Linked DNA regions of Lonchura striata. The protein of the gene in region 1 interacts with the protein of each later gene in a pairwise test. Links are inferred from orthologs where the notes say so. Each region holds a gene or a part of one and is shown in the gene's direction. Other genes may lie near its edges. The genes, in order: KATNAL1, KATNBL1, KLC4 and COX17.

Region 1 (7,338 bases):
AAGTGACACTGGCCTATTCTTCATCATTTTAATCAATCAACTTAAAATTGCTATAACAGCTTTCTCTCTCTAGGGCCCTAACAACTCAACACATTGGGTGGGACTCCTGTCACCTACCTTTAGACATCTACAGTGCAAACACACTTAGGCTGATCAGATGAGTCTGCTGTAAGCATTGGAAAAAAAATAAGCACATTCAGAGCACAATCCACTTTGGCTGAAGCAGGAATTGTATCCCCAAAATCTTAACTCAGAGGAAAAAGTCTACATGACAGATGTCTACATAGACCAGATAAATAAAAACATCCTTGCCTATTCCACCTCTCACCTTCTGGCTGTTTAAAAATCAACTTACACTGTTCTCTATTATAAATTGACAGCACTTTGAGATGTGCCTTGTGGAAAGGATGTTGATTAAATCTTTCTCAGGGTTCAGACTCTGAAGTTTTTTCCTAGGAGAAAAATTGGTGGATGTGTCATACTGGTAAATATAATTCCATAAAAATATCTATGCAGAAGAACAATTACTATGCGTGTATGAAAATTAACAGCCTACTGATGCCTTTACTGACTTGTGCATAACTTCCCTTGCAAGGTTAATGTCCATGAATATGTAACATGCACCTTCTTCTCCCTACTGCTTCCCTATTGTTTTTCCCTTTTCATTATTACAGCATTTCTCCATACAGCCTGTAAGACCTTCGGTAAAGAGTTATGTTTGCATCTGAGCATTAAAGCTTATTACGAAGGCACAATAACTCCTGTAGTCTAGTTAAATATAATTGCAAGGGGAAGGGAAGACAGAAGCAGAGGGCAGTTCATAATTCACAGACCTCTCACATGATTTCAACCTTCTCCTTGCAGAACTTTGTGGGTGGGAGGAGGTTACAAATGAAGCTCTCTGCTACTTTGTGCTAAAAGCCTGCGCCAGCCCTCTAGTCAGTGGAATTTATGTAATGATAACCAAATCAATTCAGAAACCAGTTTTGTTAATCTGTCAGAGACCCTAAGAGTGCAGAGCTTTAAACTTCTCTGACAGTGTCTGCAATTACTCTAGCAGAAGAGACACTTCTGAACCAAATCTAATGTTCATGGCAAAAGAGTTACATTAATTTCTATCAGCTTCTGATTGAACTGACTAGAATAAATCAGAGTGAGTGGGCACACAATCAGCTCTACTGGCAGATTTGCAGATTGCTGGAAAGGGCCATGATAAGTCTCTGGGGTCTGGCTGTGAGTAATGCTATCCTCCACCAACACATCTGGATCCTGCCGAACCACACTCGCTGACACCCACCATCATCATGTCTTATCCAGAACTGCTAGGTTTATAGCCTCTATCAAAAAATAAAGAAGTTGTAAACCATGAGAATATGCTCAGAGTAGAACAAGCTTCAGTGGCTTAAGGTGTCACCTCCCCTCCCAGCAATTTCCTACCTCCTCTTTGCCTGAAATTCATGCCTCACAGCAGAGTTGGTGGAATGAGACACACACTAGTTCCAGCTGTTTCAACACAAGGTCCAGAAAATTAGCTTAAACTGCTCATAAGATTACTTTAACATCATATTTTGCATTAAAATGGCTTAGAAAAATTAGTGCTTTTCAATCCAGGGACTGCTGTAGAGGCAGGAACCTTCAGTAAGGAGGTCAGAGAAGCATATTTTTTGCAGCAGTCCAGCGAGATTTGCTCAAATTTGACCTAGCATTAGGAAAGACTAAGAAATTGCACACTTAAAGTTATCATTTTTATGGCTTACTAACAGGCTTATGAACTTCTGATTGCCTGACTGGACTAGGTGGCCTTCTGAGGTCCCCTCCAACATGAATTACCCTGTATATCTAGGGTGCGTGGCCAGGAACCTGAAGACACAGTTCTTCCTGCTGACACAGTCACAGCACATCTTGGCAAACTGTGGAGACCCATGCTTACCAAATTTCCCCTCAGAGTGGTCAAAATAGGTTGACACTGGTATTGTTCTGGTGCTGAACAACTGCTTTTCAGAAGGGAAGTCAGCTGTAGCATGGGGACCCTCTGCCACTAGGAAGCAGCCCCACTTGACTCAATTGTTACTAGAAAAAGGGATGGGGGGAAAAAAACAACCAGAAAAATAGAGATTATGCCCAAATAACCAACCTTCTCTGGGTCACAATTTCCTGGCTGGGGGATACAATCCTCAGACCAAGCACTTAATGTGCTGCCTAATGTGGTAAGAGGTACATAGTCTCGTGGGAAGGGATATTATGGAAGTGCTGGGACAGAGCTGCTTATCATCTGCTCTCCCCTAGAAAGGCTGAACTCTGTAAGGTCTGCACAGCATCTATGTTTCTGCATATGTGAAAAAACAGCAGGAATTGATGTCATGGACAGGCAAGTTCGAAGAAATCTGGAAAAGGGGGAAGCCAGAGTTGCAGCTGTTATGAATTCATCACGATTTTGGCCCTGGTTCCAAAATTCTCACAAAGACATAAGAATCTCCACATGATTTTGAGGCAAGCAAGATCTGCAGATCTATGAGAGACACATTCATGCATGCTGTATTGTTTAAGAGGCATACTGAGCTTTTAGTTTCAATCCCTGCTCTTTCACCTGCGTCAGTTAGCATTTCTGAGAACCTTACTGTGAGATACAACCTCATGCCGCTGCCTTAAAGTAACAACAGAAATTTTCCAGAGAAATCATATACTATTATCAGGTACGATCACAAGATCATCGTCACTGGGATGCTCTCAGAGCTGTCACAAGGCAGTTTCAGCAGTAAGGGCTCACTGCAGTGGTGCAGCTGCACACAGAAACACAACTCGGATTCACTGGGATTGCAATGGGCTACTCCTGCCTCCACATCTCCTCTGCCTTCCTTGTGCCTGCAGCACCTCTAAGAATCAGCTAATTCGGGAGCTTTCAGTTCCAGCAGAACTCGGTTAATTTTTTGGAGGAGCAAAACTGGCTGTCCACCAGATCAGATCCCAGGCTTGCCTTGCCAGATGGCATCATCAGTGTTACTGCGGTGTAAATAACAAACAGAAAGGCATATCCATGATCAGAGAGGAATGCAGGACTGCCCCTTTCGGTGGCAATACAGACACAGGCTGTCTTGCATTAACTGTGAAATTACATCCCTAGAAAGGTTTGTAACTGCATGGCTCCCCTCGCAGGACACCAGACTGCTAGTATTGACTGTGAGCCGCACGCTTCAGAACACTAGGTAACATTCACCCTCAGGAGATGACACAAACTGGGTGGTGCCACCCTGTGAGACTGCCTCTGATCACCAAATACCACTTTGGTCCAGGAACAGGGCAAATCCCTAAATCTGTTCCTTTACGGTACTATAAAAGTGTATTACACTGCAATAGAAAAGATAATCCAGTGTCCTTCTGCATGCCCACGCAGGACAACCGTATGCTCTGCATTTCCTAGACACACCCACAGACGAGCTGGAGGCACATGAGGTTTGCATTCAGACTGTGAACGAGCTCTGATGTGTATTCAGAGCTCTTCCCGCTGGTTCCAGCCGCAAGGACACGACGCAAGGGCAGAAACTGATGCACAGGAAGTTCCAGCTGAACATGAGGAAGGACTTCTTTAGTGTGCAATGACTGCGCAATGGAACAGATTGCCCAGAGAGGTTGTGAAGCCCCCCTCACTGGAGCTATTCAAGAAGGGTCTGGACGCAATCCTGCGCCATGTGCTGTGGCATGGCCCCGCTTGAGCAGGGAGTTTGGACCAGATGACCCTTCCAGCCTGAGGCATCCTGTGACTGTGATTTCAGCCTCCCGCCCGAGTCCTGGCGCAGCAGAGCGCGGCGGGCGCTCAGCAGCCAGCCCGGGCGCTCGGCTCCGGCACTCCCTCCCTCCCTCCTGCCCGCCGGGCCCGCGCCGCTCCAGCTCCCGCAGCCAGCGGGGCGCTCTCCGCCCGCCTCCTCCGGGGATGCTCAGCGCGGAGCCCCGCCGAGGGCTGCTAAACGCGGGCTGGGCGGCGGCATCCGCAGCCATCGCCGGCGGTGCCGCGGGGTTTTCCTTTAGGAAAATATCCCTTTCCCCCGCCGCCAGGACACGGCGGAGGCGCTCCGGAGGCCGGAGCGGCGGGGCCGTCCCCTCCCCGCGCCCGCCGCCGCCGCCATGGCAACCGCCCGTCGCCGCGCGCGCGCACCCCCTTCCCCGCCCGCCCCCCCGGCCCCGCTCTGACAGAGCCGCAGCGCTGCGCCCCCTCCCCGCGCCGCTCCCGCCCGCGGACACGCACCCCCGGCTCTCCCAGGTAACGGCAGGGCCCGGGAACGGGGCAGCACCTCACGGCGCTGCTGCCCGCGGCGGGCGGCGGCTCGGACCCCGCCACGCCGAGAGAGGCGGCGGGGATGCGGGGGAAACCAGCGGTAGAGGCTGGAGGAGGGTGGGGGCGCTCCCCCATCTCCCGCGGAGCGTGCCGGGAAGTGTAGTCCGCGCCCCCCGCCGGGCCTTGGGGGCTGCCGGGAGAAGCGGCGGGAGGGAACTACAGCCCCCAGCGCTCCCGGCGGAGGGGGAGAGATGGGTGCTGCGGAGGGGACCCCTGTGGGGACGGGAGGCTCCCTCTGAACGAGGGCACTGAGGCGGCTCTCCCCGCGGAACAGCGAGGGACAGAAGCCCCTGTGGCGCTGCCGGGACGGGAGGGGCGCTGCGGCAGGGCCGGCTGGGAGGGTGGGCGCAGGGGCGGTGCGGCTGCGAGGGGAGGTGCGGGGCAGGGCAGGGCGGCGAATGGGGGGTGGGTGCGGGAGAAACACGGGTGGGTGCCTGCGGTGAGGGGAGGATGGGTTGGGGGGCGTCTGGATGCCAGGGCGGGAGAGAAAGAATACAAGGAAAGGGGCACATGGGAACATAGATGGATGGATGGATGGATGGATGGATGGAGATGTGCTGGAGGAGGAATGCTGGAGCAGATGGACGGAGAGAGCTGTGCAGAAGGCAGGGCAGACTGGAGTGTGGGGATGGGTACGAAGGAGGCAATGGTCAGAGGGAGCTCTGGAAAGTTTCCCCAACCAGTTTGCATTTATGGTTTCCACTTTCACATCTCCTGAAACGCTTAGGCTCTGTTGAGCTTGTTTCACTACGTGGTCTGGACACAGTGTAAACTTTTAAAAATTATTCTGCTACATTTCTGCTTTTCCCAAAAATTTCTGCCATGATGTCAGCATTTGTCCCTTTTCTCTTTCCATTTCCTCTCCTGACAGTTCTCGTGTTATTTTTTACCTTGTGTTCTCTAACAGTCATGGAGGGGAATAAAATTACAGTTTCTCTATATATCATACTTAAAATACACATGTTTATGACTAGTATATAAGGGGGTGTCATTTTTTCTTCCTGAAAATCTCTATCTTAAAAGCATCAGTGCATTAGTACTCCCTTGTATATGAATATTGAATGTCTATTCCTACTACAGTTTCACATTTCACAGTGATGGGTTTCTTTCCAACGAACGCTTGATTGCAGTTGCAGATTGTTGAGCAGTTTCTTTTTTCTTCCTTTTTCCCCCATCCCTGTGTCAGCTATATCCTAGACAGGCTTCAGCTTCTTGCAACTCCTGGTACCTGCCACACTGCAGAAGTGAACATTGCAGCTGCAGCGTGCTTCCAGGGTGCTTGGCTCTTGGAGATTTGGGCTTTTGAGCAGGTAATGGGGAGAAATAGATCTCGCCCTGACCCAATTCAAATCAAAAGCCTGAGAAATAAATGGAATACAAGAAAAAAAAAGATAGGCCTTTATCAGGCTTTCTGTGTAATTAATTAAAAACCAACTGATTTTTCTGGGGATGAACTGAGAAATCTGAAGACTGATGTCTGTAGCACTAACAGCAGTATGCCTATAAATGTATATATTTTTTAAAATGTATGCTATTCTATTTGAATAATACATATCCTTAGTCTTAAAGAACCAATTATTTGAAATTCACAGTGGGGTTCAAGAGGTGTAAAAATATTCAGCCCAAAATTCTGACCTTATGGGTCAGGGTTATAAACACCTGTGTGAGTGTATTAAACCTGCAATTATTCATGGAAAGCTTATCTGGGATGCAGCTTGGCTGAGCTGGGAATGGAGCAGCAGCAGCACCCAGTCTCTGTGGCGCTGGCTGTGGTCTGGTAGGGCTCATGGGCTGCAGCATGGGGGGAACACGGGCGTGCTGTATCCAGGCCAGGTGCAGGAGCAGTTTCACTGCTTTTCTTCTGGGCACAGAGCCCGACCTAAGAAACGCTCTGAATGCGAGCTGGCTCTGTGCAGGCCCATCTTGGGAGCCTTTGGTGGCATGTTTGCTCTACCAGAAGTGCTTACGCACATGATACGCAGAGAAGCAAGTGGCTCCACAAAGGACCAGAAGGATTATTGACTCGGGGTGGTTCCACTTCGTTGCGCTCCAGACAGGCCCTAAAGAATCCTTCAGGTATCTGGGCCCTGCTCCTGCAGAGGAGGGCTTGACTGATCCACCTCAGTGCTGGTCCCAGCTGAACATGGGCCTGGGTTTGATTTGATACTAATGTCAGAAGCCCTGGAGGCTGTGCTGGAGAGGAGAGAGAGGTGTGGAGCCAGCCGGGGTCCAGCAGGGCTAAGGTGGAGCAGAAGCTGGCAAGCCTGTTACTGCCTGACCTGTGTGTGTATGGAGTTATGCTCCCCAGAGTACCCCACTGCATTTGTTTTAGCTCTTTTCCTTACCCGGCCTTGCTAATGAATACCTCATTACCCCAAGTAATGGTGGTGTGGCCATATGGATGTGTCTGAAACTGGTGTATGAGGTGCTTGGAGAAGGATACAGTTCACACTCAGTTTTAGGAATAGCACAGCCATCTCTGATTCTCCTTTCTCCTTCTTCAGAAAACTGTACTTCAAAGGCTCTGTAAATGGCTATTTCATGCTCCAGGATGCTTTCTGTTTGGCTCACCAAACTAATGAAATCTCTAATTTAAATCTCTAAGTTAATCTTTAATTAAAAGACTGACCACCTATTCAGTGTTTTGTTATGTCTTTACTTTTGTCTTACTGTGTTTACTTTTGTGGTGAATGTCTTTACTTCATTTGAAGATTTTTTTTTTCACTTGCACTCCAAGTAACTCTGTTTCAAGTTAAGAATGCACACAAAAATAGTTTGAGGCCTGCACACATGCTTCTTCTCCTTCCTACTTCCCATACACATTTCCCCATTAACTCCATGTCTGCTATTGTAAAACAGAGTTTCAGTGCAAAGAGGCCAAAAACCAATTAGCAGAAAGCAGTTGACTGAATTAAAAGATCCCTTGGTGCTGGGTTTCCTGGACCGTGGTATATGTGTGTGTGTTTTATCTGGTGTCTGTACTGCTTTAAAAAATGACATAACCTGCT
Region 2 (7,744 bases), on another chromosome or scaffold:
CAGACTTTAGCCCAATTCATGGATGCTGGCCTTTTTTCTAAAATAGGAAATGGATGTAGTGTCCAGAAGTGCTTTGTTACAAATAATCCCAATATGGCACACTGATTCATAATTCTTTATTCATTAAATCTGCTAATCTATCTCAGGTTGCAAAAACTTTACACATTTGAACAGACCACCCTTTTCATCTGTTTGAGTATTGATATCATATGCCAACAAGAAATATTATTGGTAGATATTTGCCTTTTGAAGTTCAGCTTTTTCTGCATGACAGAAAAATCGTGTTACTCTTCTTACAAGCTGCTGTTGTTTTCAGCCAAGAATCATCCGTGGTTTGCTGTCTAAAATCTAGCTTCCTGTGTAAAGTGAATATTCCCAGTGAAACAGTATCCCCTGACAGCTCATGCTGGCAAATTTTCCCACACTCCCTTCAGTGTGCTGAGTCCTGGTCGTCACGTTTCTAGAGGGATTTTTAGCCCTCGTGCTCATTTGGAGCTGTCTGTGGCGCAATCGTTCTCACAGTAAGCGTTGGGGGGCGAGGGGGGTTAATTGTAAAGCTATTCGCCAGTAGCAGGGATGGCTACTGATTTCCCTCATATGGGTCGCTGACCAGACACCAGATGGTGGAAATAACCTGTCCTACTATTCTGGCCCAGAGCTGGCAATTCAGAGGTGAAAAGCTTTATCCCATTACCAATTGCCTGAGCCATCCTGTCTCCAACCTGAGGGCTAAGGATTAAACAGTTAATAGTCTTGGAGTAACTACCGCCCCCTCAAATCTCCCATCCACTGCACAGCCCAGGCAGATCTGGGAGAAGGTCCACAAATGTCAGTGCATTTTATTGACTTTAAATTCTGCCTAAGGAGGAATGAAAAAGAAGCCAGGCTGGTAAAATTACTGCATCAATTTGGATAGTACTACTTATGCAACATCTGGAAGGAAAAGTTTATTGCAGAAAAAATGTCAGGAGAAATAGAAAAACCAAGTAGGCTGTTTGTGAGAAATGCAATCTGGAAATAAATGGAGTAGGCATCATAAGAAAAAAATATCATTATAGAATTCCCTTTTGCAGGTTTCAGGAAAAGAGTCACATTACTGGTATTAACACTACACAGTCAGAACACCTTAATCAGCTCAGAACAGAAGAACCAGTTTTAGTGAATTTATTATTCATCCTATATCCTCATTTTCTTTGCCTTCTGCACAAGTACTTTGCTCTGCTGCATTCAAGCTTTTAATTAGTACACAATAGATTTCTGTATTGCATCCACAATTGCTATCAAAATTTATGTTATACACTATAAATTGTCAGAGAAGCTACTTTTACATTTGTGAAGATGACATAAAACATATAATTTAGAGTTCAAGATAACTGCTAGGGAAAAAACTTACAGAATTTCTGAACTTCTCTATAACCAGATGTAATCACTAGAATTCTTTAAAAATGCAAGTAAGTACCAGTATGAAGGTTGAAAATATGAGAATACAAGAGGAAGGAGCCAGTAAGTAATTTTTGAATATAAATAAGTGTACATTTCCATGTTAGACCTGGATATATTTGAATCTATATTCTTTCACTCCTGCAGAAAAACGTGATTGAGATTACATATCATGATCTTATAAAATCCTGTCCCACTATAATTACCATAATTACCAGGACATCTAGTTAGACTCCTTCACCCATCTGGAAGACTGGACTGTTCAAATCTGTCAGGCCATGCACAAAGAACTCATTTACAGGGGAGCCATGGAAGGAACTGCAAAAGAGCTGCCCTTGAGAGAGGGGAACGGACAAGCAAAGCTCCTTGCTGCTATCTTACTGTTCATTCCTCCCTTCATGTTTCGTACAGCTTCACTTAGGGCAGCTACAGAAATGTGTGCAGTGTGTATATATAAAACTTCTTGGTCAGCTTTTCTCATGATAACCTGCTTAATCCATTCACAATCATGATGTTTCTAATGACTAAAATTACTCCATCTTTTGTCCATAGCCATCCTACCACATCACACTTAGTGTCACAGTAAGTAGTAAAAAGCATTGTTCTAAGATAGACTACAAAAACTGGAATCTGTCATGTGTAATTATTTTACTTGAAAATATACAATTAGGTCTTGCAAAAAAATTTAAATATTAAAAAATTAATCAACTGTTTAAATTTAAAAAGCAAAAAACAAAACAAAACAAAACAAAAACCACAAAAAAACCCCAAAAAAACAAAACCAAACCAAAAATATAAAAGAAACTTTAATTTTTTCTTTAATTTGGAAAAGACGGGAGAAAAAAAGTAAGTTAAAGGAAAATAGGCTAAGGAATATATTCAGAAAAGGTATAAGACTATTTAGCTAAGGGAACTGTTTTTCAAGATCCACATACAAATTTAAAACAACTGAAAGTATGCTTATCAAAAACAAAATCAAAGAAAAATACATAAAAGAAGTGGGAATTTTTAATGGAACTTACTACAGCTGACCCCTAGGATAACCATAATGAACCTGTCAGTATTAGCGGCTAGATGGTCCACAGTCATTGCTGAGTAGCCAGAGTACAACTTGTGTGCTTCTGAAAACACAAATGGGACCTTGACAGAAATTATATTTTCATTACAAAATTTGAGCCCTTTGTGGACTAGAAGGGATACTAAACAAATTTGCAGATAATACAAAACTGGGAGGAGTTGTTGGCTCCCTCAAAGGCAGGGATGCCCTGCAGAGACACCATCTCAGAGGGCTGGACAATCACCAATTATATGAACTTCAACAAGCGACAATGCTGGATTCTGCACCTGGGATGGGCAGCCCTCGATGTATGGACAGAATGGGGAACGAGAGGCTGGGAAGCAGCACCACAGAAAGGGACCTGTAGGTCCTGGTTTGTGGCAAGTTGAACAGAGTCAGCAGCGCCCTGGCAGCCAGGAGGGCCACCTGTGTCCTGAGGTGCATCAGGCACAGCATCACAGCTGGGCAAGGGAGGGGACTGTCCCCTCTGCTCTGCTCTGCTCTGCACTGGGGGCAGCCTCACCTCCAGTGCTGGGGGCAGTTTTGGGTACCACAGTGTAAGATGTTATTAAGCTATTGGAAAGCATCCAAAGTAGGGCAATGAAGATGGTGAAAGGTTTTGAAAGGAAGCCATATGAGGAGTGGCCGAGGTCACTGAGGGGAAATCTCATTGCAGTCTACAACTTTCTTGTTCAGGGGAATTGGAGGGGTCACCAATCTCTTCTCTGCGGTGACCAGTAACAGGATCCAAGATAATGTCCTGAAGTTGTGTCAGGGGAGACTTAGGTTGGAATTAGGAAAAGGTTTATCATCCAAAGGGTGTTTAAGCACTGGAACAGCACAGCCTGGCAGAGTGCAGTGCTCTCGAGGACATGCTGTGACTCTTGGGGATGGTGCTATGCACGAGTGGGACTTGGACATCCCTGTGCGGCCCTTCCAAATCAGCTTATTCTGTGGTTCTGTGATAATGCAGCAGAGCGTGGAGCTACCGTGGGTTTCTCAGTCAGTCTGGGCATTGCACACTCCTAACCATGGCTCGTCACTGGCGGCCGGCAGACAGGCAGAGAGCGCGGACCCCCAGCTCCACCACCGGGATCATCGGGCATCCCCCTGCTCCCTCCCGCCTGCTACGTGCCGGGGCTCCCCGGCATTCCCCGGCTCCCTCCCGGCCGCTCCATCACCGGGATCATCCAGCATCCCCCTGCTCCCTCCCGGCCGCTCCATCACCGGGATCATCCAACATTCCCCGGCTCCCTCCCGGCCGCTCCATGCCGGGGCTCTCCGGCATTCCCCGGCTCCCTCCCGGCCGCTCCATCCCGGGGCTCTCCGGCATCCCCCTGCTCCCTCCCGGCCGCTCCATGCCGGGGCTCTCCGGCGTTCCCCGGCTCCCTCCCGGCCGCTCCATGCCGGGGCTCTCCGGCGTTCCCCGGCTCCCTCCCGGCCGCTCCATGCCGGGGCTCTCCGGCGTTCCCCGGCTCCCTCCCGGCCGCTCCATGCCGGGGCTCTCCGGCGTTCCCCGGCTCCCTCCCGGCCGCTCCATGCCGGGGCTCTCCGGCGTTCCCCGGCTCCCTCCCGGCCGCTCCATGCCGGGGCTCTCCGGCGTTCCCCGGCTCCCTCCCGGCCGCTCCATGCCGGGGCTCTCCGGCGTTCCCCGGCTCCCTCCCGGCCGCTCCATGCCGGGGCTCTCCGGCGTTCCCCGGCTCCCTCCCGGCCGCTCCATGCCGGGGCTCTCCGGCGTTCCCCGGCTCCCTCCCGGCCGCTCCATGCCGGGGCTCTCCGGCGCTCCCCGGCTCCCTCCCGGCCGCTCCATGCCGGGGCTCTCCGGCGTTCCCCGGCTCCCTCCCGGCCGCTCCATGCCGGGGCTCTCCGGCGTTCCCCGGCTCCCTCCCGGCCGCTCCATGCCGGGGCTCTCCGGCGCTCCCCGGCTCCCTCCCGGCCGCTCCATGCCGGGGCTCTCCGGCGTTCCCCGGCTCCCTCCCGGCCGCTCCATGCCGGGGCTCTCCGGCGTTCCCCGCGCGCAGTGACGCAGCAGCGCGCGGCGCGGAGGGGCGGGGCGGGGCGGGGCGCGGCGCGAGGCCGCGGCCGGCAGGGGGCGCCGCGATGCCGCGCGGCGCGCGTGGCGGGGCGTGGCGCGGCGCGCGCGGCCCGGCGTGCACCGCGGCGGCGTTTGAATGGCGCAGGCTCGGGGCGCCGGGCCCCGGCAGTAGCGCTCCCGCCGCTCCTCCGCCCGGCCCGGCCCCGAACATGAGCAGCGGGTGAGTGCCGCGGGGCCGGCCGCAGCCACGGCAGCGCGGCGGGGCCGCGCTCTGCCCCGCCGGGACCGGGCGCGGCTCCGCGGCGTCGCGCCGGGCGGGCGGGCCGGCGGCGGGGGCCGCGGGCAGTGCGCGGGCGCGGATCGCTCCGAGCCCGCGGTGCGCGGTGCCCGCCGGCTCCGGACAGCGAGCTCTGGCGCTGGGCGCCTCTCCAAGATGGTGCCGGCAGCCCCAGCTGGAAGCAGGCGCGTGCAGTGGCGGGGCCGTGCCAGGAGAGCGGGGAAGGCTCTGGTGCTGCCGACAGGGAGGACAACAAGCTGGGTGTGAGGCCTGCTGACGGATTTAATTTCTTGGGTGTGACAGATTCCAGGGTTACGACGGGGGGGGGGGGGTGAGGGGGGACCTTATGTGCTTGAAGATCAGATCCTGCATTAATTACTTCGTTCAAAAGGCTTCAAATTATTTTTTCAGCGTTGGGCTGGATAGTTTTGCATGCAGGTTTAAAATAAAGATGTTATGTATAGAGAGCTCTCTTAAGGAGCGATTACGTGATGATCTTGGAAATCTTTTGTTTCTGTTTTTGTAACATGCTCTGCTTTGGAGAAAGGTTAAGTCTGTTTATTTAAAAGCAGCTTTCGTCCATCTCTTAACAGAAGGCAAGTTTGTGCCTCTTTGGCCTTGCTGATAGGAAAGAAGACATTCTTGAACTAAAATTAGAATTGATTTGAATTCCTAAACTTTAAAACTCAGAATTTCATTATGTTAAAAATTACATTATGAAGGTATTTTTTGTATGTATATTAGAAAGTGTATGTCAGTATGCTGATACACATATATTCTTACAGCCACGTGTATCTATATACATCACTTCATACCCACTTTTACTGTGTGTTGGTCTTGGGGTAAGAAGCTTGACTATAAATGAAGAAAGTTTTTTAAAATGCTGTAAACAGACTACAGTCAATAATAGGAATGTATTTGAGGGTAGCATAAAAAGCCATGTGAAAATTGTGTGACAGACTGTTCAGCCAGGTGGGCATGTAGTGAATAATTCCTTAACCTCCACCAAGTCTGGAGCTTGAGGGGTTTGTCAGTATGTCTGTCTCTGGGTTTGAGTTCAACATTCTTGTTGCAGTTTTTTAAAACTCCTTGGGTTGAGCAGTAAATGGTAGAAGAAATTGCTGTATTTAATTTCATGGGTAGTTTCTTAAAGAGTTGTGTAAGACGTTAATGTGGAAGCTTTAGTGTTGTGGAAATGTATTTCTTTTATAATGTTTATAAAAGCTTTTTAACATCTCTCAGTTATAAAACTTTTTCAAGCTTATTGTCACCAGAGTGTTCATAAGTAAAGATCAACAGGTAGAAGTATCTTTTCGTTAGTGAAAGATGACTTCAGAAAGGACTTAACCACTGAGAGCTGCTGTTACTTTATGGCACCTTTACATACCTCTAAATGGTACCTCCAGATGCAGAAAACTGAGTTCTTTACTTTTTTTTTGTAGAAAATGTAAGTAAGGTTCAGTTATTAGACTCCTGGGCTATTTCCACAATGAAAGCTAATGCACACCTGGGTTCATCCTCACTAAACTTGGATGAGCTGTGACTTGTGGTTATCTTTGAAGGTTCATTATGACTAACAGTGGGCCACATACAAATTTCATATGTAAGAGGAAAATGAACTTAAATCTTAGGTATAAGCTAATTTACCATAATTAGTTGTTCAAATAGTATTTTTATTTACTGCAAATTTAGAGAAATTCCTGTAGTTTTTACCAACATCTGGAACAAATGCCCTGACAAGTGTAGCACATTAAAAAACTGTATTCTGCTGGCATATACCACTATTTATAATGTTGCAGAAAAGTTTTGCATTAACATACTCCTTAAAATCTGAATGCCACTTCCTCTTTTTAAGAAAACTCAATTTTAACAGCTGGTGAGTACATCAATTACTAAAAAAGGAATTAGAAAAAAAACAAACTGTTTCCTATGCAAAGGATGTGGAAGCCTTCTAAAACACAAAGACACATGGATTCTGTAACATTTATCAGAGCTAAAATGAAAGGAAGTTATGCCAAGCTTGCAAAATCACTTCTACGTCATAAGATAGTGCTATTTTATTGTTGTAAGCAAATTACCCTTTTGGAAATAAATTTGAAATAACCATTCTTGGAAGTTTCTTGTGACCATTGTAGATCTGATAATGGCCAGTTAAATGAGTTGACCCTGATGCATACCTATTTGGAATGCTTTCAAAGCATGTGCTCTCTTCCTTGGGAGTAATGATTAATGAGGCTTTTCATTTGAGTTTAATATTGTCATCCTTGAACTTGCAGTTGGGCTACTGTGGGGTGGAGGAATATCACAGGAGCATTTCCCATGGCTGGTGCATGGGGCATGCTGCAGGAAAAAGTAGCTATTAAGAATTTGGACAAGGAATAGGATGGAAGAGTGTGTGTTTTAAAAGGTACTGCTGATGACTTAAGAGATCTAACTATTTTAGGTTTTCCTTACTGCCATGCAAAGTATGGCAGCCTGTGTTCTGTAAGAAAATTTTATTATGTTAATATGCATGTAGATTACATAATGTGCCAAGAAGAGTTTGTCCCTCTCTGGGGGCCGTGCCCAGAACTTAGGACATGGGAGGGAGTGGCAGAGTTGTTAATACTTGCCTTGGACAGATATGCACTTGAAAGCCTGTTAGTGCTGATTTCTTTGCCTAATTCTGGTATGACCTGAAGAGTTTTATTGCATATGGGAGAGATCAGAGATAGAAAATACCAGTAAAACCATCAAGAAAACTTCGCACAGGTACTGTCTGTTGTGTGTAGGGACAAACCAGCTTATGCTCAGGAGACATGGCTGCTATTACTTTAGTCCTTCTTCTTACTGGAGATTGAAGAGAATAAAAGGGGGAGATGGTCGCTTGCTCTCAGAAATCACCCGCTGTATAGGGGAAATTGGTGGAACTTGATTCTGTCATCCTAATGAAATC
Region 3 (7,857 bases), on another chromosome or scaffold:
GTGGAACAAAAGTGCTACAGGTTTACTGGCAGGTAGCAGGCTTTAACAATGAGCACGGGGATCCCTGAGACTGGTAGAAGGGCTTGGATCCAGGCACATGTTCAGGAGAGAAGGGCCATGCTGGTACCCAAGGGATCCATGAATGTGTGTGTACTTGTGAACGTGGAAAATGCAGTACGTGCTAGCTGCAGTGACCTTCTGTCTCTGCTGGACGAAGAGCAGGAGGGGACACGGCTGGCTGTACTTGTGTTTATGTGAGTGCTGTAAGTGTGTGCTGAGTCCTGCCTGTGTCTGTGCTACAGGATGGGCAATCAGCTTTGCTACTGGTTGAACCTGCAAATGGAAAACTTGCAAATGACAGCTGCATCTCTCAGCTTGAGAAACTACAGATTCCCCAGGCTGGGCTCCAGCAGTGGAGCAGAGGTGCTGGGGCTGCCAGAGGAGCCTTTACATTCCTTCACACTCCTAACAGTTAATCAGCATCCCAGCTCAGAAACCTGGCAGGGGAAAGAGTTTCTAACTCCAAGAGCAGTCCAGACAACTGCAACCATGGAAGTCTGGAAGATCCACACTGATTCTTCCCCTTTTGCCAAGAAGCCCCGAGACATGCTGCTTCCCAGGCATTTCACCCATCCCAAAGGCCTGGCACCCCTCAGCTGCCCAGCAACCCCTCCTCAGTGGCACCGAGCAGGAGCAGCCCCCACCTGCATCGTGTGCACCCAGAGCGTGCAGCATCTCGCCGGCACTGCGGCGGATCTGCTTCTCCCTGTGGCACAGCATCCTCGTCAGCAGCTCCAGGGCTCCCGCCTCCCTGAAGGCACCCGCCAGGGAGCCGATGCTGGCGTAGGCACCCAGCACGTGCACCGTGCTCAGGATGGAGCACTCGGGTGTCCCGGCCTCGGCCACCTGGCGCCTGGCTCGCTGCACCAGGCTCCTGACATCGGCCTTCATCTCCAGCAGCGAGGCTTCGTCCAGCAAGGCTTCGTCCAGCGAGGCTTCGGCCAGCGAGGCTTCCGTGGCCAATGGACCAGGCGCCTTCTCCTCTTTCAGCCTTGGCCCTTCCGGCCTCCTCTGGCCCAGCAGCACTGGGCAGCTGGCGCAGACCTCTTCTGCAGACATCCACATGGAGATGTTCTCTGCCTTGGTCTCTCCAGAGGAGGCACTGCCGCCTCCCGCTGCTCTCTCTTCCAAGCTAACAACGCTCCACTGCACCAGGTATTCCGGACGGTCGTCGTGGCCCCGCCGCTGCCGGAGCAGCTTCTCTGGGCGGGCCTGCAGCTTGGGCCCCAGCTGCACAAGCAGGGTGCCATTGTGCTTCTCATTCACCATGGCAGCAGATGTGTCTGCAGAGACAGAGGGGAAGCAGGAGCTGGGGAGAGGTGGCTGAGGCATGCTATGGCTAGAGAGCCGTGTTCCTGTGTGTGACAGTGCTGGTGATATGGCAATGCAGCCATAAAAATGTGCTTTTATACCAGCTGTACTCAAGGACAGTGCTGTACAGCCCTAACACAGCAAGTATGAGATATGGCTTACTTTCTCCTTGAAAAGCCGCATATAGTTACAATATAACAGGGCAAAACACAGTGATTTCTGGACTGTCCAACAGACTGTGGGCACGGCAGGAATACGGACAGCAGTGCCCAGGAAGGACAGCTTTCCCCAGGAAGCTTAGCTATAACACCCGGCTGCGTGCTGATGGAGCGAGCTGCCCGAGGCAGGCAGAGCCCACATGCGGTATCAGGAGGCCAGCACAAGCTGCACATGGCCCAGCCGGAACCGGGACACGGTGAGGGACAGGCCTGTGCCCGGGCACACATGCTAAAGGCAGGCGGCACGGCACTGCCATCCCCGTGGAGAGGGTTCGTGCGGGCCGGCCGCGCCAGCGGCAGCACCAAAGCTCCTTCCAGGCGCGGGCAAAGCGAGAGCTCGCCGGGCACGGAGCACTGGACCCGGCCCGGTTCTTGCCCGGCCGGCCGGTGGCCGCGACCGAGGCCTCCCGCAAACGGCCCGGGCCCGTCCCGGGCCGGTCCGCTCGGGGCGCTCCCCGGCCGCCGCCCGCCCTCCGCCGGGGCCGCGCCGAGGCCGCCGCGTTACCTCCGCCCCGCTCCCGCGCCGCTCCGGCCGCGGCGCCTGCGCGGACCCGCCCGACGGCGGCCGCGAGGGCTGGGCCGGCGGGCGGCAGCGCGGCGCTCGGCGCTCGGCGGAGCGGGGCACCGGGAGCGCAGCGCGGCGCTCGGCGGGGCGCGGAGCGGGGCGCCGGGAGCGCAGCGCGGCGCTCGGCGGGGCGCGGAGCGGGGCGCCGGGAGCGCAGCGCGGCGCTCGGCGGGGCGCGGAGCGGGGCGCCGGGAGCGCAGCGCGGCGCTCGGCGGGGCGCGGAGCGGGGCGCCGGGAGCGCAGCGCGGCGCTCGGCGCTCGGCGGAGCGGGGCACCGGGAGCGCAGCGCGGCGCTCGGCGCGCAGAGGGACGGGCAGGGTGGGACAGGGAAGGCGGCGAGGGAAGGACGCAGCGGCCGGCGGTAGAAGGGCCAGGGAGCAGTGAGGCGCTGCCGGGGCTGGGAGGAGATGATGTCCGTGATTCGCAGCTTCCCAGTCACCTTGGCTGGAAGCCACCTTCCAGTCCGCTTGCCTTCACTCCTCCACAAGCTGAGGGTGAGAGAAGAGCTCGGGTGTCCTGCAGCTAGGTTTGACACGATTGTGCCGATTGACCGCACCGGGTCACCCACCAACCTCAAACTCAAGCCAAGGCAATCCACAGCCCCACACTCATCTCTCCCACCAATTCCACTCCAGCCAGGGACTGAACACAGCAGAACTTGACCCGTGGGAAAGTGAGGAAAGACCCTGTGCATAAAAGACAAAAGTAATGCAACAGCAGCGGCATGAAAAACGCTTTATTCGCCCTGGGCATCACTCCACTGCTTTGACACGTGGCAGGTTGACATAGCTTTTCATGGGTGGGAGAGGCTTGATCTTGCGCCCAGCCCAGCCACCCTTGCGGTGCCACAAGCCCGTGTGTGGGCGCTTGCCCAGCCAGCGGTTCCGGCCCGCCTTCCCGATCACCCGCTTGTTGTGATCCACGTTGGACACGCGGCCCACTGTGGCCACGCAGGTCTCCAGCACCTAGGGGAGAGAGAAGAGCTGCAGGACTCTCTGGGGGCATACGGCTGTGTGCCCAGGCAGTCGAGCCAGGGGCAGCACAGCTCCTTTACCTGCATATGCCTTTTGGACGGCAGCTGCACGATGGCTGTCCCATTCACTTTCCGCAGCAGCACCCCACAAGTACCTGCAGCAGGCAAGAGAGGAGGCAGCTGCCTTGAGCAGCAGGACAAGTATCTCACCCTGTGACAAGCACATCCCCATGCTGGTAACTCCCCAAAGGCCCCCACTATTGTACTAAATGCAGCACTTCTTGCTGAAGACAGAGCCTTGAGGAATCAACGGGGCAGAGCTGCCCCTGCTTTTCAGAAGGGATGTGTTGCACTCTAACATAAGAAGATGGCAAATCCCTGTCACAGGCCAGTGCTCCCCTACCATCCTCTCCAGCTGTGCTCAGCCAAGCTCCTACAAGCAGTGGGTTCCCTGTGTGGGGACATACCAGCTGCCCGGATGTACTGCGCTCCCTTCCCCGGGTGGCTCTCCAGGTTGCAGATCAGCGTGCCAACAGGCAGAGCCCCCAGTGGGTACGCGTCCCCTTCACTGGCTGACACTGGAAGACAGAAGCTGACAAGTTGGGCAAGGAGCAGCCGATGAGCCCTTGGCAAGACCAGCACAGCTGCCCCTGGCCCTGGCGTGCACCTGCCATCCTACTAATGTGAGGTGAGTTCGTGATGCTGTTCCCTGGCTGCATGTTCTCCGTGGCAATGATCCAGCGCTTGCGGTTGCCGCCAGCCACCAAGGCGATGTTAGCCGACCTGCACGGAGAACCCGCGGCGGGTGAGCAGGGGGCCGGGCCGGCGCTACTGCCCGGGCCCGGGGCCGAGCCCGCACGCCGCACTCGCCTGCAAGGGTCGTATCGGACGCTGATGACCTTCTCGGTGAAGGGCTCCGGCGGGGCTCCCTCCTCGTAGCGCAGGCGCTGGAAGTCGATCATGCGGTAGCGCCGCTTGTGCCCCCCACCGATTCCCCGCACGCGGACGCGGCCTGCGGGACACGGGAGCGGCTGCAGGCGGGATCTCCCGCGCCCAGCCGGCCCCGGCAGCCCGCCCGCCCACCTGTGTGGTCGCGGCCGCCCGTCTTCTTCATGCCCACGGGCCGCACGGTGTACTTGACCCGGCACTTCCACAGCGGGTCGGTGGTGCAGCGCGGCGCCGAGCCGCCCAGCCCGCGGCAGGCGGCAGGAGCCGACACCGGCCCCGGCAGCCAGGGCTGGGGGCCGGACGGCAGCGGCGGGGGCCGGGCCCGGCGGGGGCCCGCCGACAGCAGGAGAGCGCCGAAGGCGCGGCAGAGCCCCAGCGCCGCCATGGCCACGGAAAGGCGCCGCCGGACGGGGCGGGGCCGCCGCGGGCCTCACCTGGCGCCGCCGGCAGGTGGCGCGCTCCCGCCGGCGGGGCTGAGGCGGCGGCCATCTTGGATTTAAAGGGGCTGCGCCGCTGAGAGGGCGGGTGGTGCCGGCCGCGGGTCTCGCCCCGCCCCCGCCGGGACCGGGACAGCGACTGGGACCGCCATCGAGATCTTGCGCCCAGCAGGTTGGACGGGCGGGTTTACGAGGGCTCGGTCGCTTCCCTCGGCGACCCTGGCATGGGGAGGACACACGGAGCCCGGCGGCGCATGCCGGAGCGGGGGCGGCCTTCCCGGGGCGACGCCGCCCCGCCAGCCGCGGGGGGCGGTGGGACCCTCCGGGGAGCTGGGGAGGCCCTGTGGTGGGGCTGGGCTGGGGCTGGGCTGGGCTGGCGAGGCTCGGGGCGCCCTGCCCGCTGGGCAGCGGGACGAGCGGGGGCGAGGGCAGCGTTCGGGCCGTGCCCGCCGTAACGCTGCGGGTCGGCGCTAAGGGCGCTGCCGGCTCTGCGGACTTTGGAGCCGGCGAGGCGCGCCCTGCGGGATCAACCCCCTTCAGCCCCGGGAGCCGCTGGCTCGGGAGCCCTGCCGGTGCCCGCTCTGCTCGGGTAGCTCCCGGTACGCGGGCTCGGTGCGCCTGGCCTCCCCGCGGGCAGGACCGACTGCCACGCAGGGACGGGCGGCGGAGGCCGGGAGCCCCCGGGGGAAGAGCGCAATGTGTGTGTGGCAGCTGTGGGTCAGCCCGAAGTCCCGGCCGTGGCTGTTTCCAGGGTGCTGTAGGCACAGACTGCGGGATTCACTGCTCTATAATTAGTCTGTGTCTTCATTGCCAAGAATGGCTTTCACTGTAACACAAATAATCTATGTTTGCACTTCTGCTGTGTAACTTATGTGAAATGTAAGCGTGCCATAGTTGTATGTACCCCCACAGCCAGCTAGATTTGCCCTCCAGAACTAGGGAATGGAGGGCACCAAGGTGCTTTAGTTAATAAATATGTGTTGTGCGATGAGGCAAGAGAGAACCTGCGTGTCAACATGGCTGGGCTGAGCTGTGTTCCTCCTGGGACACCTGAAGCCCTTCCCCGTCTGGGGGAATCCGTGTGGAGGGACAGGAACACCGGTGCAGTACTGGTTCAGGCAGATGTAGATAGCTGGGGACATCGTCGGGAGCACCGTGACAGTTGTGTGTTACCGTGCATGGGATGGCTGTAGCAACAATCTAAGCTGGATCCCGTGTCGTTGTCCTCTCTGAGGAGAGCAGCCAGACTGAACAAGTGCTTCCCAGCAGTACCCGGCCTAACCCCACACTGCGCAGTGTGGACACAGCAGGGCTCCAGCTTTCCCAGATCTCCTGAATCTGTCCATTGCTGTGGGCACAGCGATAGCCTCCATGCAGCTGGGGGGCTCTCGGCAGCTACACCAGCTTGACTTTGGAGGCTGGGATGGGGTCAGCAGTGGGGACACAGCCGAGGGTGGTACCAAACAGGATGTAAAACCTTCGGCCACAGGATGGAGGGTGGGATGGAACGGGGCTTTGTCGGGCTGAACAGGAGCCCGGTGGTGGCCAGTGCTGCTTGGGAAGCATTTGGCGGCACCGTGGGGGCTCGGCCCTGCTCCTGGGCGCTCCCGTGGATCTCCGAGGAGGGAGCTGTGAGCTTGGCGTGCGTGGCGCTTTCTGCGCTCCCAGGAGAGCGTCCGACCGTCCTGTTCCCGGAGCGTGTCCGCATCCCTCCCCTCCCCCTGCCGCAGTGTGGTTGGCTGCCGAGCGCCGGGTGCCTGCGCCGCTGCTCGCTCCCCGGGCGGCGCGGCAGACGGAGCCGCGCAGCGCCGCGGCCGCCGCTCCTCCGCCGCCTCCGCGAGCACCGGCGCTGGACAAGCCGCTGCAGGCAGCCAGGTACCGCTCCTCTGCGGCGCGGGGCGGGGGACATTCTCATCCGGTGACTGAGATGGGCAGGGTGCCCAGCCATCCTGGAACAAAGGACCGCTTTGATGCGCAGTTTCGGGCAGAGCTGATGAAAACTTTTTTTCCCTTGTGAAGCTTTCACTTAGCCAGGTGGGCGCAGAATTTCTCTGTGGTGGTTCTGAGGGGTGAAGGGGTTTCTCTGGCTTGTTTGTTTCAAGGATACGCAGCGGGCGTGCCTCCTGCTGCCAGACAAAGCCGGAGAAACGATGACGGAGCAGGTCATACAGCAGTAGCTCTCAGAGAGACTTGTTTTGCCCCAAACCGTCTTTTCATTAATTAACTGCATCCTAAGGTTTTCCGAAGTGGAGGGGCACCCTACCAAAGGTGGTAGGCTGGGGGAATCGCTGGTAAGCTTCTGTGAAGGAGAGATGCGCCTGGGAGGAGGTGTCTGAAGAAGAGCTGGGGGATGGTGTTGCGGTAGAATGCTCTGGCCAGGCAGCCGGGGAAAATCTGCACAATGGTGGGAGGCAGCAGCACATTACCAGAAACAGCAGGCTTCCCTGCGTCTTGCATAGCTGGCATCTGGCACTCTGCTGCAGTTCCATGCTCGGCTCTCCTCTAGTGCCCTTGGTCTCCTCTCTGCCACGCCGCCTTGGAGATGCAGAAAACACCCACCCCTGCCTGTGCTTGTGGGGAAAGAGGGTGGTGTTCAGCACACATCAGGTCAAAGATCTGGCCAGCTCAGGCGCAGGGTAAATAAACATGGCTGTGCTTTGCTGTAATTGGCAGAAGGAGCAGGAAGCATGTGTTCTCTCATCTGCTGTTTTGGAGGAATGTCCAGGTTAGAACAACAGCATTAACCCCAAATACCAAAATGGCTCTTGGGGCACAAAGGACATGTGTTAAGATACTGACCTTGGCAGAGTTACTGGATAAATGCTTGATTTGCTGAGAAAGAGCCGCATAGCTCCTCAAAGAGCTCAAGCCAAAGATAGAACAGGTCCTCTGCCTGTTTTGCAGGTAGAGGTTTGTCCCTATGACTTTGCCTGCCTTGCTGTGGTTTACAAAAGCTGTTTGCTCTTGGAAATAGTAGTGCAGTCTTGCAGCCTGCAGTCGGCTAGTCTTTGCAGGTGCCCCAGGTACACCATGGAGGGAGTGTGGGTATACCAGAGTCCCTCAGGGCACACAGAGTGGCTCCAGAGCTCCTGCTGGTCCCATCTGCATCCTGGTTATCTCCTGTATATGGCTCAGGCACATCTAGTGCATAGCCCTCACATTAGACAGATGCCTGCAGAGGCATTACCTCCTGGGAATTACTCTGCCTGCTTTAATACTGCTTCATGCTGTCAGGGCAAGGTAATGGCTCTCGCTCTGTTTTTTATAGTGCAAGACTCCCAATCAGATTCTGAAGCTGGGAAGAGATGCTTGCCCTGGCTCCATTCCAGCTGCTTAACTCTTGTC
Region 4 (7,215 bases), about 41 Mb from region 1:
CAGAATTCATACTGTAGTCCTGAAACAGGAGGATTTGCCTCTTCAGTCTGGGAAGGAACTGGTGCCCTGCTTCTTGAGGTGATATCAGTCCTGTGCTTGAACCCCTTGTCTTCACATAAAGATGGAGTTTGAAGCTTAGAGGGAGTGTAAATAATGACTTTAGAGTCTCTTCCATTGTACTAGACTGGAGCACAAGCCCTTCTATCCCAGCATTCATTTTCTATCTGGTTCCACTGCTGAGCGATAGCATTTGGCAGTTGCAGGTCTGCAGCTTTGATCAGAAAGAGAAACTCTATCCTGTTCTTGGGCAGTTGATATAAGAGGCAGCAGGGTCCTGACAAGACATCTTGCTCAGAGCTTTGAAATCCTTTATTTTCACGTTATCTAAGCATTAACACAAAACATAAACAACTTCTTTGACAGTAAAACACACAGCATATGGTTGACTGGGCTGCTGGAGCCTTGGCTGTCTTATGTTTATACTCAGTCAAAACCAAAAGTACTTCTTTAGACTATATTGAACAGGTTTCTTTTTTCAAGATAATAAAGTGGTTCCCAGAATAGGCAATACGTGGAAAATATCAAAATACCTTCAGCTCAGTTTCGTCACACAAAATTTCCAAAGCTTAATGTACCTTCTATCATGTAATTCAGAAGTGTAGAAAACCTGGAAAACCCCAGACTGCCCTAGACTGTTACTTTCAACCGACATTGATAGGGGCTTACCCAACCTAACAGCAATAATGAATGTAAATACACTTTTGAGGTTCCTTGAAAAATCTGTCCATTGGAGACAAGGACATCTTTTTGGGTAACCATTCTTTTAGTGGGTGAAACTGAATACACAGGAAGCCAGTGGCAATGACGCAGTGTTGCTGTGATGTTCACACAGTATGAGCCACTGCTGTTATATTCTTCAACTCTGATAAAGGGCTGTACAGAGGAAATAATTTGGAAACCCATGACAGCTGGGTAGTCTCTCCCTGTTTCACCCATTAGTCCTTTAAGTCAAGAGCTGTAAATGTCCAGTGCTACCCTGCAGTCCTTGTACTCTGACATATGGCACCAGGCTGCCAAATGATACTGCAGCTTGAGGGAGGGTCTTTTCTCATTATCTCTTTCAGAGACTGAGATTTTCACTGGATCTTTTTTCCTGGGTACTTGTTCTGGCAATTTTCTCGCAGCCTCATCTCAGTAGCCAGCCCTTAGCTATTTCTTCTTGTCTACTAGATAAATCTGTTCATTCTGACACATAGCTCTCTAACATAATTCTTCTGCCACTGTCAGTAGGCAGAAGAGAAATAGAAAACAAAAATGACTGAGTTAACAATCAATTCTTATGCACAGTGCAGTGTCAGAAGAGAAATGGCTGTGGTCTCGCCTCTGCATTGTACTCCAAATGGGTGCAATCAGTATTGAGATGTGTTAACCATGCTTTAATGGATATTCTTTTTCCTTCTCCTCCCTTCCAGCCTCTGTCCTTTCATCCCACCAAAAAATTATTCCTTTTTCTGGGGCAATTCTGTTACAAAGAGAATTGTACAAACACCCTGCAGGGAACATGGCCAAAATAGCAGTGCTCCTCCTTAGCCTTTGGAAGGCTGCTAGAGTGGAATGCTGCTTCCAGAGATGTTTAGTCTTCAGAGGCCATACCTTTTGTGCAGACCCATCTAAAGTCATCTGAGAGATGATGATGACTAAATTTTAATCTCCCTCTTCCCTTGACATTCCATAACTTGGGCCAGAGTATAAAATGTATTTTGCTTTGTGTCTTCCTGGCTTCTACAGGCCAAATCAATGACTTTCAAACTTTGTTTTTAATATTAAAAAAGCTAAATAAAAGATACGATTCAACTGCTAACTTGAGAAACCCTCTTGGAGGTTTTATTACAGTCTTTCCCTCAAAGTTTGTGCTAGATAGAGCTATCAACAACTCTATTTAGGCCTTTGGAAAGTGGTCAGCAAATAAAGCTTTAGGAAGGAAAGAGAAAGATATTTAATTTTAAAGGAAAACATGCTTAGTATGTTTAACAAACTAGGAACAAGGCATTGCTTTGGAGAACTGATGTGTGCTTTTGATAGATGTTTCAATCTCGGCTTTTATCTTGCAGCATGTTTGTGTGAATTTGGGAAAATCATATTTTGGTCAACAAGTGCAACCTGTACATATTCCAGATCATCACACCTGGCATGGCCTCACAATGCACATGTGCTTAAGGCTGTGTGGGTGCTGGTCACCTGAACAACCTTGCCAGAGAAATGGCATGGTGGGGAACAGGCTACTGAGCAGAGATCCATGGATAACTCAGTGGTGATTATGTGAGTGAGTGAGTGAGTGAGTGAGTGCGTGACTGAGTGAGTGAGTGAGTGAGTGAGTGTGTGAGTGAGTGAGAGAGTGAGTGCTACAATTACATGACACTTTCTGTTCCTCCTTGCTCTTGTCAGTGTTCCTATGATTTTGGATCCCCTTAGTACATGATAGAAACTGCCAGTTCTTTTTTGACTCTTACAACATCCCACTTAAAGGCACAGGAGCTGCATCCCAGTGGGCATATTAATCTTTTCCCTTTGCAAGGTCTCAGCAGTGTCACATCCACTGCTGTCCTGCCCTTCCCCCATTACCTGTGTGGGTCACCGCTTTGGTCTGCAGTGTGCCTGCCAGACTAATATGTGTAAGTATCACGTTGGAGTCATCAGGACTGGTGACAAACAAAAATGTACCACTGGGAGGTGACAGACTATGGCCTAAGAGCTAAAAGCCAAGCTGTGGCTTGTATGTGGCAGAGATCTAAAAGGCAAGAGTGGCTTCTGATGCCTCGGATTGGGACAGACTACAAAGGAAAAGCAGCTCTGTATCTTCTCCTTTATTGCCCATGCTGTTGTCCACAAAAGTTGGATACATTACCTGGTATGCAACAACCCAGTAATTACACACTCAGCAGAGATACTGATTATTTATTTTAGAGTTGTGCAAACCTGGGTGTTCTGTGGTATTCCACAGATCAAGCACACCAAGTACCAAAGCTTTTTGCTATTTATACATTTTAGCAAACAAAGGAATTAATGTTCATTGCTTACAAGTTACATACTTCTCTTATAAATTAGTATTCTATCTTTTATGGTTAATGATTTTCACGCTTTTCATGCTAAATAGTCTACATGCTCAGTCTTCTACTTGAGTCAGTAGGTTTCTGGGGTCAGTAGTACCTGAGTTGGTGGACACCATTTCCCCCTACCAGAATTAATTTTTACCCAGTTGGAGCTATTTTAACACAATTGCTGAGTTGACTTTATTGCTTTCTTCCTTATCTTGGCAGTTCTGCCAGATGTCCTTGTGGCCTGTACATTCTGCATTCTTTGTGTCCAGTATCAGTGCACGTTCTTCTTTCCAGGACTTTTTACTCCCTCCCAGGTCTGAGATCACTGAAGCATGGACAGCACTTGGAGCTCGTTAGTTGCTCTCTGTTTCACAAACTAAATATCCCTTCTTGTTGCTTAAGCTTGAAAACATAAAAGATCAAGCATCAGAGCACATCCTTTTGCAGCAATGCCAAGGGCCGGCCCTGCTGGGCCGCTGCCATGAAACCGCGACATTAATGATGCCAGTGATGGTGAGTGTGCTGTATCCGTGTGACCACCCTCACAATGAACTGATCCCGTGTTTTCCCCGCTGGCTGGGTGGGAAGGAAGAGGTTAGGCGGCTGGGCACAGCTTTAAGGGTGGAGCCGGCGCTGGCAGAGCCGAGGGCGTCACTCGCTGCTCTCGCCTGACGCTATTTTCCCCCGCGCTGCCAGCTCCCTCCGTGCCTTCGGGCTCGTTCATTACCGAGTGACCTGGAGTACGCCACTCGCGCCCCGGCACCGGCGGCAGCGCCGAAGCGCGACGGCCGCGAAGAGGCGGGGCGGGAGGCTGCCCTGCCCCTCCCGGCAGGCCGCGGGCCGGGAAGGGCGGGCCAGGCTTCCCGGCACCAGCCGCGGCTTCCCGGAACCAGCCGCGCTCGCACGGCCGCCGGCCCGTCCTGCCCGCGGGCTGAGGGAGCCGCAGCTGCCCGCCATGTCCTCGGTGGCCGCCGCCAGCTGCGACGGCAAGGGCGCGGCGGAGGCGCGGGAGGAGAAGAAGCCGCTGAAGCCCTGCTGCGCCTGCCCCGAGACCAAGAAGGCGCGGGACGCCTGGTAGGGACCCGGCGCCGAGCTCCCCGCGGCCGCCCCTCCGTGCCCGGGCCTCGCCCTGCCGCTGGCTGTGCGCCCTGCCCGCCGCATTCCCTCCTCCCCGAGTGCGTGCCCCGCCGGCCTGCGCAGGGGCTGAGGGCGCTCTCCCTGCCGCAGCCTCCCAGGGAGGAGGGACAGCGTGGAGGAGAGGAAACTGGCGTAAAAACACGCTGTAGAAATGAATGGTTTAAAACCGCATAGCCCGCGTTTAAAACAGGTTTCAGAGATCAGCTTTTAATGCTGCTTCCCCATGTTCGAATTCTTCTGACGGTTTTTGTAGATCTTCACTATTGTTGATTGAAGCAACGCGTATCAGCAGGTGATAACTTCTTTGTTGTTCACCTGAGTATAAATTACATTCTCTTTTAAATAAAGCAAAATATTCTGGTTTTTTGAGGCTCAGAGGATGACATTTCCCAGAGAAGTTCAAAATTTGACAGTGACCTGTATAGCTGCATTGGTAATTACAGGCTTAGTCGTGATTGTAGGACCTATAAAACAGTATGAAGTGCACCCTCAAAATGGAGCTCCTTTGACAGTGAATCTTTAAGGTTTAAAAATCTTTAATCTGATGACCAAATTGTCTCTTTGTTTTTTTTTTTTTTTTTTAACTTTGCTGGTGGTATAGATGGTAGGTGACAATACTGAACACTGTTTTTGCTAAGTTTAGGGGAACATGTCTAATTACATAGTATAGTGAGGGTGAATACAGGGACCCTTAAGAAAACGATGGTAGGGTGGATGGTACTGGTCAGATGGAGTTGCCCTGGGCAGCCAGGGGATGTCTATGCTCATTGTAAAAAAACCTAAGAAAAAAACTAAACAGTTCTGTCATTCAGTCAAAAAGCAAGTCTGAACTGCTTTTGTGGTATACATGATAATACCAACAATGAGAGACTTTTATTTGGATAGATGAGTAACATCAAAAGTTATCATATATGGTGAATCATTTTTTCAACAATAGCTGGGCAGGTGTTGTGTTTTGTTTTGCTTTTTGCTTCAGGGTCCTTAAATTGCAACTGAAGTTGGACTAAAATATAATTTACTGATTAGCCCATTCTGTATTGTTCTGTTACTGGAGAAATTTTGTTGCTTCCATGCTGAATAATTGGAAACTGGCCAGCTCAGCATACTTGATGATGTGACAGTCTTGTGTTGTATAACAAATCCCCATCCGGACTTGCCCAGAATAGACCCTGGCCTGTGAATAGGAAGTTCTGTTATGCCTGTTGTCAGAGTTTTAGGTGCACAGCTCCAGATTTGGGTAACATTTTGGGATAGTTTTATATTGTCCAACACAGCACTACCCTGGACAGGATGGGAAAATCTCTAGATCCTAATAGGGATTTTTAATTGTCCCCAACAGCTTGTCAATTCTGTTTCTTTGACTAAAAGTAAGTGAACATTTTATTGCTGAACCCTGGAAATCTTTTTGTTTTGCAGCATTATTGAGAAGGGAGAAGAAAATTGTGGGCACCTAATCGAAGCTCACAAAGAGTGTATGAGAGCTCTGGGCTTCAAGATATGAGTGAGATGAGCAGGACTGAGTGGGGTGAGTACAGCCTTCAGGACCTCTGCCTCTGAAGTGCCCTGGCACTTCAGCTGGTACCACTGGAAGGCCCAGAGTAGTGCTCGTGATGGTGTTGCCCTTATGAGAGGGAAGGCAGAGCAATCCTCATTGGCATTACAGCCAACATTGCTGTCCTGTGAGGGTGGTGAAGCCCTTGGCAATACACAGCCTCTATGAGTCACTCTTCAGCAGTAGAATGGTGCTGCCTCTGTTGTCTGCTAAGAGATCCAAACCTCAGTTTAGATTTCTGGTGCTAGGACACATGGGAATTGGTTTTTGTGGGTTTGTGCTGGGGTTTTTTTGTTGATTGTTGAACTGTTGCTCAATATCCAGTGGAAAACCATGTTTTGTGAAGCTGTGTTTCCTTTCTCTTCTAGATGATGTCTTTGGTGTGACTGCATTCTGGAAAGCTGCAAAATAAATTATTTCTGCAAGTTACTGCAAAGAACAAATATAAACAAAGAGTCTATTTATGAAGAGTCTAAAGATAGAGTATGCATCACATCTGTAGCTTTTCCACTGCTTGCTCTTGACCACTGCTATAGAAAATATTATTTTTTCCTCTTAATAAAACCCTGAAAATGACCAGTGTTCCTGCCTTCTGTTTCTTTTTAAGTAAAGAAGTGACAGTGCCCTCCTTACTGAAAACAGCATGCTGCAAGAATGAGAGAATGAGGAAAGCCTGCTTAATCATTAACGTAGGAACTCTTTCTTCCTACTGATTACTGAGGTGGTGTGGTTGAGCAGAGAGAACTTTGGTGGGTTTTCCCACTGATGCAAATTGTGAAATCATGCTAGTAGCATTGCGCTCTAGCAGCTTTCAGCAGCCGTGCTGAAGCTTGCAGTGCTGTTTGTGACACTAGCTGTAACTATGTTTGTACAAAGGTGACCACAGTCTTATGAAATGAACTTCCTTAGAGTCAAAACTGTATTTGATTTCCCCATGTTCGAATTCTTCTGACTGTTTTTGAATACCGTTACCTGAGCTGATTGTTTATAATGAAAAATTAGGTACTTTCCACCTCAAACTTGCTTGAGCCAGTAGTTCTTCAAGGGAAAGGGAGCAGAGTTCTGCTCCCTATCACTGCAAGAGACTTATGTGCAGGTTACTTGCCTGAAAGTAAAGTTTTTTTTTTTATGCTGAGTTTTATTTACTTGCCTGAAAGTAAATCTTTTTTTATGCTGAGTTATTGTGGAGTTGGTCTTGTGCTATGCACGCATGGGCTTTTGTTTTCTGGCTGCTGCTTTCACTTGTATGAGATGATAGTGTTGTATGAAATGGTAGTTGTTGCTTTTGATTCCTTCTTGTAATCTAGAGAAACATTAGGTGCGATTTCTGGTTTATTACAAGTGGGGCTTTTCTGGCTTCATAAAATGTAATTGTGCAACTCTAGTGTTACTCTTCCTGTGATGAGCTGGCTTTCCTGAATATGGTGT

Evidence for each region.
Region 2: the proteins of KATNAL1 (region 1) and KATNBL1 interact in binary tests that used the Homo sapiens proteins (3 or more experiments, as listed by UniProt). The two-hybrid records come from large-scale screens. The link is inferred for Lonchura striata from reciprocal best matches to the Homo sapiens genes KATNAL1 and KATNBL1.
Region 3: the proteins of KATNAL1 (region 1) and KLC4 interact in binary tests that used the Homo sapiens proteins (3 or more experiments, as listed by UniProt). The two-hybrid records come from large-scale screens. The link is inferred for Lonchura striata from reciprocal best matches to the Homo sapiens genes KATNAL1 and KLC4.
Region 4: the proteins of KATNAL1 (region 1) and COX17 interact in binary tests that used the Homo sapiens proteins (3 or more experiments, as listed by UniProt). The two-hybrid records come from large-scale screens. The link is inferred for Lonchura striata from reciprocal best matches to the Homo sapiens genes KATNAL1 and COX17.

Annotation. Positions count from the first base shown.
Region 1 is NC_134604.1:68,165,704-68,173,041, forward strand, and holds the start of KATNAL1 (katanin p60 ATPase-containing subunit A-like 1), read left to right. Parts: upstream 1-4,167; 5' UTR 4,168-4,255; exon of another isoform or gene 4,256-4,344; intron 4,345-7,338. UniProt on the Homo sapiens protein: Regulates microtubule dynamics in Sertoli cells, a process that is essential for spermiogenesis and male fertility. Severs microtubules in an ATP-dependent manner, promoting rapid reorganization of cellular microtubule arrays.
Region 2 is NC_134608.1:31,725,592-31,733,335, reverse strand, and holds the start of KATNBL1 (KATNB1-like protein 1), read left to right. Parts: upstream 1-4,646; 5' UTR 4,647-4,752; intron 4,753-7,744.
Region 3 is NC_134605.1:18,667,453-18,675,309, reverse strand, and holds the start of KLC4 (kinesin light chain 4), read left to right. Parts: upstream 1-4,553; 5' UTR 4,554-4,684; intron 4,685-6,258; exon of another isoform or gene 6,259-6,387; intron 6,388-7,857. Other genes in the region: cullin-9, read right to left, coding at 705-1,329; MRPL2 (large ribosomal subunit protein uL2m), read right to left, coding at 2,907-3,119, 3,209-3,282, 3,595-3,705, 3,795-3,910, 3,998-4,139, 4,211-4,460.
Region 4 is NC_134604.1:27,333,466-27,340,680, reverse strand, and holds COX17 (cytochrome c oxidase copper chaperone), read left to right. Parts: upstream 1-3,953; 5' UTR 3,954-4,053; coding exon 4,054-4,172; intron 4,173-5,651; coding exon 5,652-5,736; 3' UTR 5,737-5,760; intron 5,761-6,155; 3' UTR 6,156-6,363; downstream 6,364-7,215.